Schizosaccharomyces pombe: one gene and its partners. The gene in region 3 interacts genetically with the main gene of each other region. Each region holds a gene or a part of one and is shown on either strand. Other genes may lie near its edges.

The links.
Region 1: mutations in SPOM_SPCC63.06 (region 3) and sqs2 together harm fitness more than expected from each alone (negative genetic interaction), as found in Schizosaccharomyces pombe (one large-scale study listed by BioGRID).
Region 2: mutations in SPOM_SPCC63.06 (region 3) and pof9 together harm fitness more than expected from each alone (negative genetic interaction), as found in Schizosaccharomyces pombe (one large-scale study listed by BioGRID).

What each region holds. Positions count from the first base shown.
Region 1 is NC_003421.2:1,789,454-1,794,299, reverse strand, and holds sqs2 (G-patch type RNA-binding protein), read left to right. Parts: upstream 1-2,225; 5' UTR 2,226-2,390; coding exon 2,391-2,954; 3' UTR 2,955-3,489; downstream 3,490-4,846. Other genes in the region: protein Cox18, read left to right, coding at 1-534; hnt1 (adenosine 5'-monophosphoramidase), read left to right, coding at 1,062-1,463; CDP-diacylglycerol-serine O-phosphatidyltransferase Pps1, read right to left, coding at 3,529-3,533, 3,617-3,980, 4,264-4,495, 4,583-4,704.
Region 2 is NC_003423.3:1,869,312-1,874,677, reverse strand, and holds pof9 (F-box protein Pof9), read right to left. Parts: upstream 2,846-5,366; 5' UTR 2,832-2,845; coding exon 2,467-2,831; exon of another isoform or gene 2,397-2,466; coding exon 1,358-2,396; downstream 1-1,357. Other genes in the region: SPOM_SPBC3H7.05C (uncharacterized protein), read right to left, coding at 1-219; phosphoserine phosphatase Ser2, read right to left, coding at 3,377-3,475, 3,547-4,344; SPOM_SPBC3H7.08C (uncharacterized protein), read right to left, coding at 4,835-5,076, 5,237-5,288, 5,358-5,366.
Region 3 is NC_003421.2:843,472-848,333, reverse strand, and holds SPOM_SPCC63.06 (WD repeat-containing protein), read right to left. Parts: upstream 2,424-4,862; 5' UTR 2,411-2,423; coding exon 1,415-2,410; 3' UTR 982-1,414; downstream 1-981. Other genes in the region: tap42 (TAP42-like family protein), read right to left, coding at 2,917-3,888; spore wall alpha-1,4-glucan synthase, meiotic Mok14, read right to left, coding at 4,263-4,862.

The DNA.
Region 1 (4,846 bases), 950 kb from region 3:
CGTTCTACTATTACATTGCCAATTGCTATTGCAAGCCTTAAAACGGCTCGTCGGTTTGTGCAAGTGCAACCACTGATCAAAGAAGCAAAGAAACGTTGCCGAACAAATACCGATTTCCGTACTGTACGAAAAAAGCTGTACAAAAGGTTCAATTGTCATCCTCTCATGATTTACGCATTGCCTATTACTCAACTACCTTTATTCGCGTTTGCATCTTATCAGTTAAGACAGGCAGTCGATGTATGTCCCGAGAGTATGTCAACAGAGGGTATGCTTTGGTTTACCGATCTCACATTACCAGATCCTCACGGTGTACTACCTGCGGTCCTTGCTGTTACTTATTTAACAAACATGTCTATATTGAAGCGACCTTCGGATTCTCGATTGCTGAAAATATTCAATACCGCTGGTATAATGTCTGCTTTCTTTGTATCTTTTATGGCATTTAAGACTTCTACGGCATTGTCTTTATACTGGACTACCTCTGCAATTTACTCTTTGGTACAAAACGTTGCATTGAGAAAGCTGTTATAGAAGAGCAAGAGTAATTCTACATGTTTGGTTCTGAAAGGTCTTAACAAAATCAAACCTGACTAGTCGAGACTCACATATTATTCCTTCTTTCTTTCCGTACATAATTACCTACATTCTTATGGTAAAGCTAGGTTTTTGATTTGTTATGGCCTACCAAAAGGAAAATCTTTTGTCACAAAACATCTGATCATGGCAAAAACTGACTGAATTAGTAATGAAAAATAAGATACTTTATTATTAAAATGCCAAATAATATTTAATAAATATCATTAGTATTACAGGCTTGTTCGTGTGACATGAGTTTGGCATTTCAAGGATGACTACCTGCAAAGCTTTTTGAGAAATGCAACCTCGCCGATTACTCCATTTTTAAGGAAGAATTTAACTATTGATTTCATGTAAGTCGTTTTTAAAATTTACATTTTTTTTAAAAACATTTGACTTATTCACACTGTTTATTACGTTAACTACGGTAAATTTCGATAATTTTCCCACTTGCACATCCTTGACTTAAGCTAACCACCACTATGAGCTGCATATTTTGTAAAATTGTTAAAGGAGATATTCCTTGTGTGAAACTAGCTGAAACAGCCTTGTCTTTGGCTTTCCTTGATATTGCTCCTACATCTAAGGGACATGCACTAGTTATTCCCAAGGAGCACGCCGCTAAGATGCATGAACTGAGCGATGAGTCTTGTGCAGATATTCTTCCCCTTGTCAAAAAGGTGACAAAGGCTATTGGTCCTGAAAATTACAATGTACTTCAAAACAATGGTCGCATTGCTCACCAATTTGTGGATCATGTTCATTTCCATATCATTCCCAAGCCTAACGAAGAATATGGATTAGGAGTAGGCTGGCCCTCTTATCCTATTTCTCCTGAAGAAATAAAGGCATTGGGCGAGGAAATCAGCTCTAAGATTAAATAGTTTTTTTTTGTTCTGTGTGTCTCGTTGAATCGAAACTTTCCTTGACTTGGCGAGAACTATAAGGAAAACATGAGCCCTGTCTTTGTAGAATAGGCTTGTGTTTTTCATGAAAGTCGTTATTGGGTGTTGTTTGACGTTTATGTTTTTTAGAAATGAAAAGTTTGTTTTATACACTTTTACCTACTTGTTTTACCTTTCCAATGTAAGTAGTTGCTGTTATCTTTGCATAGTTTAAGGTGAATAAAGGGATTTTGTTTAGTAGTGTGCATACGGAATGTATGGTACAAATGTTTGGACCTGTTATTCTAGTGATTAGAAAAGGTGTGTTTGAAGAACATTGTTCAAATTGTAGTCTAAGGTCTAAATATTAATCCATGCAGGGTAGTTGGTTTCCTAATATGAGGTTATGAAACTTGCAGACGGAAAGATTAGTAAATGTGCATCAGAGAATGTTTATTTCCAGTATCATATTATTTTATTGATGACCTAGCTTGTTTTTTTTCTTTTAAGAAAATGAAAGACATCTTGCGGCGTCAACTTAAAACTTGATTGTTTGAAGAAATTTTTGCCGGACAGCATTGAAGAATTCTAGTATTTTTAACATGCAAAATTATATTTGAGCCTTTCTATCAGGGTATTGCTAATAATTGATCAAAACCACTGCGATAGTATTTACTTACCCAAAGTAACAATTATTCATCAACCAAGTCACACTTGGTTTATAGTAGCAAGCTATACTGCACGAACAAAACTTTTATAATTGAGAGCGAATTTGTGGAATAGTCAGGCTTGATTTTAATAAATCCCTATTATTATCCTTGATCTCATAAAATTTAAGTTTCTTGGGTTGTGCATTCTTTATAGCACCAATGCCAACTCAGGCTGGTTTTTGTAAATTTGCTGAATTTTCGAACATTTATTAATACAATGGCAATTATTGTGGAAGACGGTTCTTTTATTACATCTTCTCAATGGGAAAATGTAGAGGCATCTCCAAAACCTCCTCCAAGGAAGCCAAAGATTGTTCAACCAAAAAAGAAGCCATCGAAGCACTTGAGCAATGAGGATGCTTTAGAAAAATATGAAATGCTGTTTGGTGAAAGGAGAAAAGAAGTGGAACTAGATTATATGAGCCACATTGCGGAAGAAGAGACTTCGTTGAGCATGATTGAGTATGATCGTCATTTTGCACTTCAAACTGACGTGAAATTGTCAAAGAAAAGAAAATCCAAACTTGTTGAAATGACTCCTAAAGGTTTGAAAAAAAGGAAACGCGTGCAAATACAGGAAGGAAGTGTGTCAACCAATACAAAAAAGCGTATGGACGGTCATGTTGTTGGTTCTAGCGCTCCCGCTATAAATAATGGCAAAGGAAAACAACTTTTAGAAATGATGGGTTGGTCTCGGGGGAAGGGACTTGGTTCTGAAAACCAAGGAATGGTTGATCCGGTTGTGGCTGTTGTAAAAAATAATAAACAGGGTCTTCATTAGTTTTTGACGAGGAGATTTTAAATCCTCATAGTGTATATTTACAAAACATTATTTATTTAGAAGGAAAAATTACTTTTCACCATCATTTTGGGAAAGTTTCTTTTTTATAAAGAATTTTATTTTTGGTTGCTCATCATGATGACTATATAAGAAATAATAATTAAAGGAATTTTACTATATTTTACCGTTGAGGGTACAATCACTTGAAATAATTCAATTTCATAAGTTTTTCATAAAGAGAGCAATAGAAAACTGGTAAGTTGAAAAACAGCTTCTAATTGTTAAAAGGACGGAAATACATATTTGGAAAAGGGGGAAGGAATGAACAATGATGAGTGCATTTACGTTAAAAATGGTTAAGTCGAATAGGTGAAGGACAGACTTATCTTCGAAATGGAAGAAAAAAGGAAAAACAGGATATGAGAAGAGATTCAGTAAGGATTATAAATTTAAGAGAGGAAAAGGCTTCGCATGCGAGTAACATCAAAAGCAAAAAGTGAAAAAAACTGTGTATACCCAGATCGCTGTACTGTAAAGTTTCATTTGGATTCTATTGAATAAAAGCATCAGTTGATCAAACTAAAAAATCGATCAGTTAATATAAACAAAATAAAAAAAAAGAGCATTCTAAACATATTTGAGCGAATGTAATAGAAACGTACTTTTTGGAACTTTGAGTTTCTTACTAGTCATAGCAATTCCACTCAACACAAACAAAACCACAAGCGGGTGAAATGCAAAAGGTGTGTTTCCACACCACTCACCCCAAGGTAGATTTTCATGAGTCTTTCCCTTTAAGATACAAACTCCGCAAACGGTTACTAAGGAGAGGGTGGTAGGAATGGGCGTTCCTTCGAAAAACTGAGACTTGCCAGATCCATCTTTAGGAATGGAATTGACAGAAACATTAAAACGAGCCAATCTAGTTAGACCACACAAAACAAAAAGGGAAAGTATAACGGTATCAAGGAACGTTTGGAATCCACAACAAAAGGCAAAGACGGCTGGAGATACGCCAAATGAAATCTATTTTGTTAGTATAATGATATAAAAAGACCGGATAAGAGAGAGAAAAAATATATATAATCAAGAATTATACGCAATCGCATGTTTATTGAGAAAAATTCAGACTCATTGAACAAACCGACATAATGTAAAAAACGAGAAGCAAAAAAAAAAAGCTCGACTTAGCTAAAATGAAGAAAAAATTCAACCAAAGAAGCCTCTTATCATGTTCCTCGTGTTTTTATCATGTCAAAGCAACCAATGTGAAAATAGTCTCGGAACAGATTTGAGAAGTTATACATACCAGATCAGCAAGACTATCCAATTCCTGACCCATTAAGGAAGATTTCCCACGCCAACGAGCCACTTTACCATCCAAAAAGTCAAAAAACAACGCAAATGGCATAAAGTACATTGCATTCCATAAATGGAAAGCTGATTGCTGTCCGCTTAGGCAGTAACGTAAACTTGAAAATATACTCATGACACCGCAAAACCCGTTCATTAAAGTAATCAAGTCTGCAAGGTGGAGGGCTCTACAATCCTCTAGTTAGTATTTCAAGTAATGAATCCTTTTGCAAAGTCCTTTCGCAATGGTGTAAACAAGAATACGTAAATCATACCTAATGAGTGAAAAATGTCTATTATCATTTACGTAGGCCAGTAACTTGTTCTCTTTATCATTGCTTTGGTTTGATGCATCGGATTGTAATTTCAATCCAGGAGAAACTCGTGATCTAACCATCTTCCAAAATTGGCAGTTTCTGGTTCTAATTGTACCTGTTTATTTACCGGAAGTCGAATAACTAACAAAAATAAGGCACCGCAGGGTATCGTTATGGTTGTGATTGAGAATTGTCTAGAAATGCTTAGCGATCCAGGCTTTG
Region 2 (5,366 bases), on a different chromosome or scaffold from region 3:
AGAGACATCCTTATAACCAACATGGTGATAGACAGCACACATGCGATACGCCAGTATAACCGTGATGGAACATAACAAAGTGCAGGCGATTTTCCACCGGCGAAAAAAACAAAAGGTTTCGACAAGGTATGTAGCTAAAGGGAATAGATTGAACAGAAGGATGTTATAAATACCTGTGACTGGAAGTTTGGAAGAAGGATCGAAAGAAAATGGATACATGAAAGTAATTGAATTTTAGATCGTGTTCGTAGATGATCAAACGCCGAAAACTTTATAGTGGAGGAATAGGAAAGGAAGAAAAGCAAAAAAGTAAGAAAGAAAATTCGCAGTTAAAACAAAAGTGAAGAAAAAGAACAGATAGGGTAAGACAATACAAGCAACACTAGACGAGACAAGACAAGACAAGGCGAAACAATAAGAAAAGGCAAACCACACTCTATATAACTATGAGACTTTATTTACAATCAATCAGTCAACCGACAAAAATATGAAAAAAAGACAATAATGATAAAAGAAAATGACAAAATGCTTATTGAAAGAAACAAAGAACAACGATGATGATGATGATGATGATGAAGGCAAAGAAAAAAAAGTGTTATAATATAGTTGTTAACAAAAATAAATCAGACACTGTGGAATTACAAATAAATCAGTAATACTTGCTAATTGCATGAAAAGGAAAATAGCATCCCGTAATCTTCAATTGCCCTTCAATCAATCCACGATTTTTTAAATCTGGAAATTTTCGCACAACAGATTTCAGGTACAAGGTAGTCAACCCAACAAGAAAAAATCGTCTCTTAAGATCGATTTCTGCCTGAAAATACCGGTTTTCTCGACACCTGGATCTGTAAACAAAACCCCCAAGTTAGGGTCGCCAGAAAAAAATGGGGTGGTTAGGAATATTACAAACCACCAACGCAAACGACAAATAGAGAGCAAGAGCCCAACAAATTTTGACCACCGAGGATTTAATATGAAAATCGGTAACCTTCCTTACAGTCCAAATCAATTAAAAAAAATAATAATGTTTGGTAAAAACTCGTCGTAGTAGCACAGTAACTTAATTCACAGGGGTCAGGAATATAAATTGGTCAATGTGTGTACTTTATGTAATTGCGATACAGGAAGAAGGAAAAAAAATTTTCTCACTTATTTAATCACCGTTGTGTTTTCCTTGTGCTGCTTTTTTTTATAATTGGCTTACCTAGAGGAATTAGTAAAAATAGAGATAAATTCGGAAGTCCGAGGTGGCCGAGATATTTATTTATTTCACTTACTTAGCGGACAAAATAAAATCCTTCTCTAGTGCGCACGCGGAAATTAGCTTACCAAGCAAAGTTGATCACTATTTCACCTAGCCGTCCCTTTCCAAAGTCCGAGTCGCAGGGGCAGCTAAAAAGCGCAACGCTGGAACTCTGGATGGTCGGATGATAGAAAAAGTTGTAATTGGAGGCACATTGACTTCGGGTAAAACAGATTCCGAAATGGCGAGAGCAGCACTTTGCCATCCGCCGGCTGCAACTGAATAGCAAGTTCCTGAAAAGTGAATTTGATGTGGAATGGAAACGATGTTGCGTGCGGTGCGTGGATCAGAAACAATGCTGGGATCAGATGTCTGTTCTTGCAAATGAAGAGAACCCAAACCTAAACACCCACAATAACGTAATTCAACACCCCACGACCATATGGAATGATCGCTTGTTAAGTAAAGATGATGATGATCGCCATGCGCCAATTGCTTAATTCCTCGGTTCTGGAGAAAGTCGTGGATAACCGGGTCATCATCGACCTGCTTGGTATTAGCATGACCCATGTAAACAGTATTGCCATCGTCCGATAAACATGTGAAAGTTTCAAAGCTGCCTGCTAAATGCCAACCTTGATGGGGGTCGTGCGAAGCGAACCTCTTCAATTCTCTTCCTAGCGTGTGTTGTGTAGCTTGGTCCAGGTCTAAACGAAACACGGCGCCTTTTTTCTGAGGTGATGCGACAGTATACACTAGGAATCCTGCGCAGTGAACATAATCGTTCAGCACGAATTCCTTCATCGATGCCTCTGGCTGGAAAAGTTGCGCTTCACTTTCTCGTCCAGTGTGCCAGACAAGAAAGCCAATGCCCGGCACATACGCCGAATGCGAGTCCCAACCTGATTTAAAATTAGCAATTCTTCCGCGATAGGCTGATAGCATATTTTGTTCATCTGTCAAGCAAATTCGTGTTTTTAGAGATACTTGATACAAGTGTCCCGTCTCACCGAGTGCAAGACAAAACTCTCGACCAGCATGGATTTTCACAATTGGCTCTAAATCTCTCATCAATTCGGGCCCAACATTGTTTGGTACCCCCGTAACATATAAATTTCCGTTTTCATTTAATAAATACATCCCATAACCTCTAAATTCCGCATAGGGAATAGTTAGTCATTGTAGTGCAGTCAAATAAATTCCTGTATCTATGCGCTTACCCAACTTGAACCTGAATAGTAGAACGAACGTCCTTCCCAGTCAATGCACCAGGACGATCTCGAGGATACTGATTTGTATTGACGACGCGGCCCAAATAGTTTCTTATCTGTTGCCCCCATGAGTAAGCGTATCCTCGGTCTTTCCATACAGCATAGGGTCTTTTGTAATTATCATCAACAACTGGGACTACATTGGTGAGACCTTGGACCCGTGCACAAAATCGATGCCAAATTGTTTTGTCGTCAAAAACATACGAAAGTGACTTGCATGTTTCTGACAAATGAACTATATCTTTATAATCAAGATATGTACTAATTTCTAGCAATATATCGTAAGAAAGCTCCAGGAATGGTGATTTAGCCATAATGAATCTCGCATGGGTAGTAGTATATGAATACCTCTGAATATATACAAGGGAAACGGTGTTGAAATACGTCAAAAGCACATGTTTTCTGCAACTCTTAATAACTAGATACAATTGTATTATTTACAATTAATAAATGATAATAAAGAAAGGTCTATGAAACGAAGGTGTAGTCATTGCACGAATCAATTTCAAAGTCTATCAGCATAACGAAGCAGATTTAAGAGTAAATGATCGGCTTTATAAAAACCAATTGAGTAATTCTTGTCTGTTTTAAAGAAGAAAGCTTCTGAACTGCCCCTTTTTTTTTAAGCATTCATTGCACACCCTTTCCAATGAAGCATTGATCATACCAAAATTGTAAATTAAGGAAAAAGAAAAATAAGAGTATCAAAAATAAAGAAGTAGGGTATATAAAAGACGGCTCCTACTACAGAAAAAAAGACCACGCGCACAAGTAAAATATTGCTTTATAAAAACCAAGCCACAGTAGCTCAGAGTTCTTGACAGCGCCTTGCGATTGAAAAATTCTTGGAAATTCTAAATTAATTTTTGTTTTCCAATAGCTTTTTTTGTTGTTGCTCATCAATACCCAAGAGGTAAAGAGCGTTTTGCAAAGATGGAAGATTGATTTTCGAATCAGCCTAATTAAAAAAAAAAATCGAGTTAGTAAGATCATTAAAAACATAAATTTGTAAAAAAATTTCGAACATACCAATAATTGAACTTTGGGTTTAGCTTTGAACGCAATTCCTAAACCGGATTCGGCCATCATGACCAAATCGTTAGCTCCGTCCCCAACAGCCATCGTTTCGAGCTTATTTAAACCCAACTCTTCCCTCTTTTCACGCAAAATGGAAGCTTTTCGTTGTCCATCTACAATTGCACCTTGAACTTTTCCAGTGAGGAATTTACCATCATCGGAAAATTCAAGTACATTGGCATATGCATAGTCCAAGTCCAGTTGTCCCTTGACATATTCAGCCATTGGAACAAATCCACCACTAGCGACAACAAGAGTCGCACCCATTTGCTTAAGGCAATGACAAAGCTGTTTAGCTCCTGGAGTGAAAGTAATTTTGCCAATGACTTTATTTATGACATCGACGCTCAACCCTTGTAGTAGAGAAACGCGACGACGAAGTGATTCTTGAAAGTCAATTTCCCCATTCATTGCAAGAGATGTAATCGTAGCAACCTCTTTCTGGATGCCTGCTTCTGCCGCGAGCTCGTCAATACACTCTTGTTGAATCAACGTCGAGTCCATGTCAAATACTACAAGCTTCTTTTTAGTGGAAAATGTTGCTTCACTCAAGCAATTACAGTCTACATTCTCAGTAGCAGAAATGCGGTTACAAGCGTCTTTAGCATCTTCAAACGTTCCTTTAAGTTGGCCTGATACTAAAGTCCACTGTTCCCCCAGAGAACGAGTCTTCCCATCTCTAAACAAGGAGGAAATCTGTTCAAGCACATTTGGACGATTTGAGGAAACAACTATGGCTGCGTTGACCATGCTTATTAAAAGGTATGAGTGGGTTTGCTAAATTTTCTAAGTTGAAAAGCGTTGTTTTCGGCAAGTCCCATTTACTAATTACTCGGCTATTGATTAAGCTTAACGTTAAACGACAACAAGTACTAGGTCAATTTAAGTTATTTGAAAATCTCAAACAAGCTTATTTTTTGTTATTGTTTACAAATTTATCATTATCTTCAAAATGCTGTATAAATTGTGAAGTTGGTAAAGTGGTGCCTAAACTCCGTTTTCAAACACAGGTTAATAAGCAAATATTTTTTTTATACATTAAAGCAATAAAGCAAGAAATCATAACTAAGAAGATGTTTGGAAATATTGCAATATATCAGGGCAAATATTCCAAAAATGAGAGCCTACCATAAAGTAGAGAGTGAGATATTTGTAAAGTGAAAAAGCACTAAAAAAATATTTGGCAATGTAATAATTGTTCTCTTTCATTCCTAAAAGGTTATACACAATTTAATGTGCTTTACTTAGAGAATCGCTCAAGTACCTCTTCTGATACACCTTTAACGGGAAAAGTGCTGTATTGAATAGCAGAAGGTGCCTTTCGAGGTTCTTTACTCCTATCTCCTCGAGGATAATACTTGTAGCTATAATCAAGACTCTCATCACTTTTTCCGCTACTGCTTTTGGTGTCTTCCCAGGGGTGAGCATTTTTTGAAGGAATTCGGACTTGATCTTCATGTTGTACCAACAAGCCCCGCTGTCCTAAAAAACTGTTAGCTACAATCATTTAATTTAAACAATCATATGTAAATGCGCTTGTAAAATAAATATTCTGTAGGAAAATTTTAACAGAATATTAAAATTGAGTATAATGTTTCATTAACTGCGCTGATTTCTAATTTTCTACTAATTTTTAACATACCAAGCATATAACCAGCAACTCCAAAGGTATAAGTCATGACACACCAAGTTATCTAACAGCAAACTGATCAGCTTACGAAATAATCAACTCAATATATTTTTCAAAAAAAAATTGAGCTTACAAATAGTTC
Region 3 (4,862 bases):
ATTAAGAAAGGTGATATATCTTTACCAGCGCATTGCTAGTCTTGTTTACAACCACAATCGGCTTGCTACTGACTAAGGATGATCTTTTCCGCATTTCAATAGAAATCTTAGAGAACACGTATAGTATTCATTTATTCAGATTTGATCTGCTGCTTAATCATAACAGTTAAACTTATATTCATATTTACTATATAGTGAATAGTAAAGTATTAGTTAACTTGGATTGCTAGTGAGGTTAAGGCATATCTCCTTAGGGAACATTATATCCATTCAAAAATTATAAATTGCTAGTATGAAAATAAAGCCTTTAAGGAATCAAAAAATTTATGGAAACATTATTTTAGTACTTTTCATTTGCTCAATTAGTACCGCATTTCCAATTTAAACTTGAGTACTAATAAAGAAGCGTATACAACCATCTCCATCTGCAACAATTACATGCAAGCAGCAATGTGAAAGAGTACTTTTCTACAACTAAAGTACATCCTTGTTAAATGAATAAAAGGTCTTCATTGCAATCTCAAGGAGAGTCGTTATAAAAATAAAAAATTCGACACCAGCAGGATTTGAACCTGCGCGCGGAGACCGCAACAGATTTCTAGTCTGTCCCTTTAACCACTCAGGCATAGTGTCCTGGACGATATTACTTTAAAATATGCTCAATGTATTCAGTAAACAGTGTTTGATAAACAGAATTAAATCTTCTTCGATATACATTGAATGTACTTGCAAATATGCTTGGAATAATGTTGCTAAAACGAACGTATTACTAACAAGAAAGCCACAATTGATTATTTTCACCATAAGATGGTAATAGTTCATCGTTCAATTGGCTACGATGACTTTTGCTTCAACATGAAAGCGATAATATGAGTAACGTTGACTGTAAAGGATTTAAAAGAGCACAAAATACAGTGAGATTGGAATGATAAGAATACTTTGCATACTCATGTCTTACATTTTATCGACTCAATACATATTCTTTACATATACCTCGTAAGGTTTTTTATTGTTTCCTTACACTAGAACAATTCGTGTACTAATTTTTTTGTTTTCTTAATAAAACTCGTTATTAAAAAAAAAAAAATAAATAAAATGCCGGTATGGGCCTAAACAGACCAAACAACAAAAACAGAGATAGCCATTGTACCTGTATGAAACAAAATTCTAAGAAAAAAGGAGAGATTTTTTTTAAGATTTTAAAAGGAGAGTTCTTGCAAACAACGTTAAACAAAATGAAATGAAGTGGCTTTCATCTTCATAAACAACGTGATGAACAAATGATCATCTCAGCACCGTTTCCCTTGGAATGAGAGAGCTAGTTATATTAAATAACTTCGAATTTTTCCATCCTTTAACTAAGAAATGCGCTCGTGCATACAACTCTAACAACATTTATAACAATTCAAAATGACTAGACTCTAAAAGCTTGAAGTAATCCATCTTCACCACCGCTATAGTAAACATCGTTCTTTACATCAAAACTGATGGCGCGGCAAATTTCTTCCGAGGCTCTTTCCAATTTGGTGGGTTCTTTTTTCAGCTCACCTGTACTCGTATCCACAAGAACGAACTTAGTTTCATGGTTCGAAAAATCACCAAAAGCCAACGCACAAAACTGTTTGTCACTAGTCGAAACTTCGTTAATCACATAGCTACATGAAAGTTCTGCACGCAAGTCGTCAATACTAAATAACTCGTTACTGCTCCACGTTTTCTCGTCTTTATCACGTTTAAGCTTGTACATGGCATAAGACTCCATGTGAGACAATACCATCACTCGTTTCTTAGAAACAAATTTAGCCAAATGAATTGAGGCCCCGTGATTAATCACATGTAAAAGAGGATCTTCTTCGGGATCAGTCGAGTCCTCTTCCTTAGTAGTATCTAGTAAACTCACCAGACCGTCTACTGACCCAGTAAGAAGCAACTCATTGTCTTTTGGATGAAATTGCAAATGAGTAATATCGTCATTATGTGCATCGTTCCATTGTCTAATTAACTTTTGTTCACTTCTAACGTCCCACAATTGTACAGAAGCCAACGAACGAGTTAACTCTGAACCCGTTGCAAACTGGTTCTTTTTATTCAAGGCGATGCAGGTAAAGGGGGTAGATTGTTGAGTCCACGATCGAACTGCAGATTTCGCCTGCGAACGAATATCCCACAAATGTATCTCTCCTTCGGAGCCACAAGTTATTACGCCGTTCAACTGATCGCAACTAATGATTCCAGTAATATTCGTGTGCGCTTTAGGCACTTTAAAAATTTCAAGTAAGGTTCCCTTGTCAAAACAGCTCCACGAACCAGTAGAGTAGCTCACCACCACATTGTCCTTCAACTGTTCAATGTCATAAATAAAACATTCATCTTCATTGCTCACTCGAACAGACGAGCTTGCAGTAACCATATTATAAGGAGCCAAGTGACCTTTGACTTCACGAACCAACTAAAAAAATTTCAGACGGTCATGTTCGTTAATCAAGAATACAGCACTGCAGTATAAAAGCGTATTCTGTATGAAATAATATGCATTTCAATTGTCATAAAAACATCTGTAAAGTATTTTTATAGGTTGATTGAAAGGTTTCTACTTCAAGGTACTAATTTTGAAGCCCATCTTTCCAATACTTCGAATGCTTTCTGCAGAAAAGACTTTCAGTGGTTAACATGAGAGAAATAGGTTAAGTTAAATCGTCAAAACAGTTTTAAAATAAAAGGGTTCGTTTTTTATTTGTAAAATAGAAAAAACAAATCTGTAATTTAATAAGTCGATTTTCCATAAACTGAATTTAGTTATGAAGTTCACATCATATCTTAGACTCATGAAATAGAGAGAAACATCAAGGAAACCAGCAAATTCTGGCTTATTACTAGAAAGCCATGATACGTTAATCTATCAGGGAGTTAAATCATTTAACCACGATTTACCATAGTATTTCCACTACCGCGAGGATTGGCTTCTTTAAACTCATCCCAGTAACGATCTTTCATTGTTTTTGCATCCAATTTTTCATAATCATCTTCATCATCGGAGTCTGACTTAGGGGGGTTATCTTTTTGGCTTATTATGTTACCACGTTTCATCTCCTCATCTAAATACTCATCAACTGTCATGGTGGGTAGATTATAGCCAAATCCAAAAACATTTTTTCGAGTCTCATTTCGATCCGATACAATGGTAAATGGTTGAAGGGGCCGATTATTTTTGTCCAGAATCTTGTCCCTGGTATTTAAGTCCAAACGCCAAGAAGATCCTTCTTTTTGCTTTCGTTCCTCTCTCCTAAGAGTCTCCTCATCTTTCTCTGGACTGTCTTCTGATTTCATTAATTCTGCTTGTGCTCGCTTTAGTAAATCAATTTCCATTTCTATATGAGGAAGGGAGTCCAATGTATCTTCAACAGCAATTTGTAATTTAGTGAGCCAAAATTTCCTCTCCTGCTCTTCATTGGTTTCCGAGTCCTTAGACAAAGCCTTTAACTCCTTCTCAAGGTTTTGACGCATTCTGTATCTGGCGATTTTTAGAGTCCTTGTATCAGCCTCAGTTTTTGGTTTTTCATCTTGCATTGGTTTTAGTCCGTAATCATCACAAATGCTAAGAAATGTTTCATAATGAGTTTTTGCATACTGGACGGCTTTTAGTCGATCTCCTTTGGTCCATTGTTCCACACATTTGGCAAGTTCATAATCAATCATTAAATATCGTAATTCGCTGGTTTTTATTTCATCTACTTCTTCGTTTGAAGAAAAAATTCGTAACTGGAGAACAAGTTTCAAACATTTTTCGTAGCCTTCCACAATTTCAGATCTTGTTTTTTCATCTGTGCTTGATGAATCCTTCAGTTTCTCAGTTTCTTCCCATAACTCTCTCAACGACTTCGATTCCATGTCCTTTAATCCTCAAAACGTTTGAAGTAAATAAAAATATTCGTATGTAAAGCTATATTCTCAAATCCGAAGAATTCCTCAAAAAGTAGTGTGTTCTGGTACCATGGAAATAATATGCGGTTGTTAATAACTCATATGCTAATTAAAATTTAAATCGCAACTTGATAAAATTAGTGCATAAAATGAATTATTTAATAAAATCAACCTGTAAATTGATTAACCCGTATCAATATATCTTGCATTATAAATTAAATTACACGCTTTTCTCTACTCTTAAAAATCACGGTAAAGTACAATAACATGACGTTTATTAATTTGAAAAAAAATCATAAAAAAGACTAAAAACGATCTCAATAAAAGAAATAGTTAAATCATCACGGTCTGCTAATGTTTTCTCTATGATAGCACCGAAGATACATGATACATAGAGCTACATTCAAGATCAGGCAAATCCAAAACGGAGCATTAGCCACTGGCTTTGCACGGTCTACTGGAGTGTATCCAGTCAAATCTGGAAAAACATTAGCTGGTCCAGTCTTTGTTGGCGACACAAAGCGTGCAAGTATTGAGGTGGCAGAACCGGCAAGTTGGCTTATCATTAATGTGTTAGTTACGTGTCTTCTTGACAAGGTTTGAAGTAAAATTAGGCCATTGCCAATGCCTTGAATGGAATCGAGTATTCCCAACCAAAGCCACAAGGCACGACTAAGATATGGTCCTGCAATGCCCGCCCACGGTAAGAAAATTCCAACGTTTGAAGTTCCCCAGAAGACATGCATCCATTTAATAGCACCAAACCCTAATCCTAGTACAGGAACCATCCAAGTGTGCTTATTCGAAAGTTTTCGAAGCACATAAAAAATTATTAACCACGCACCAACTAAAAAGGATACAGTCATTACAACAATCTTCCATAATTTGGTAAGTTTGGAACCCCAGAAAAATCTCCAAGCTTGGCTAATTAATGTAGACAT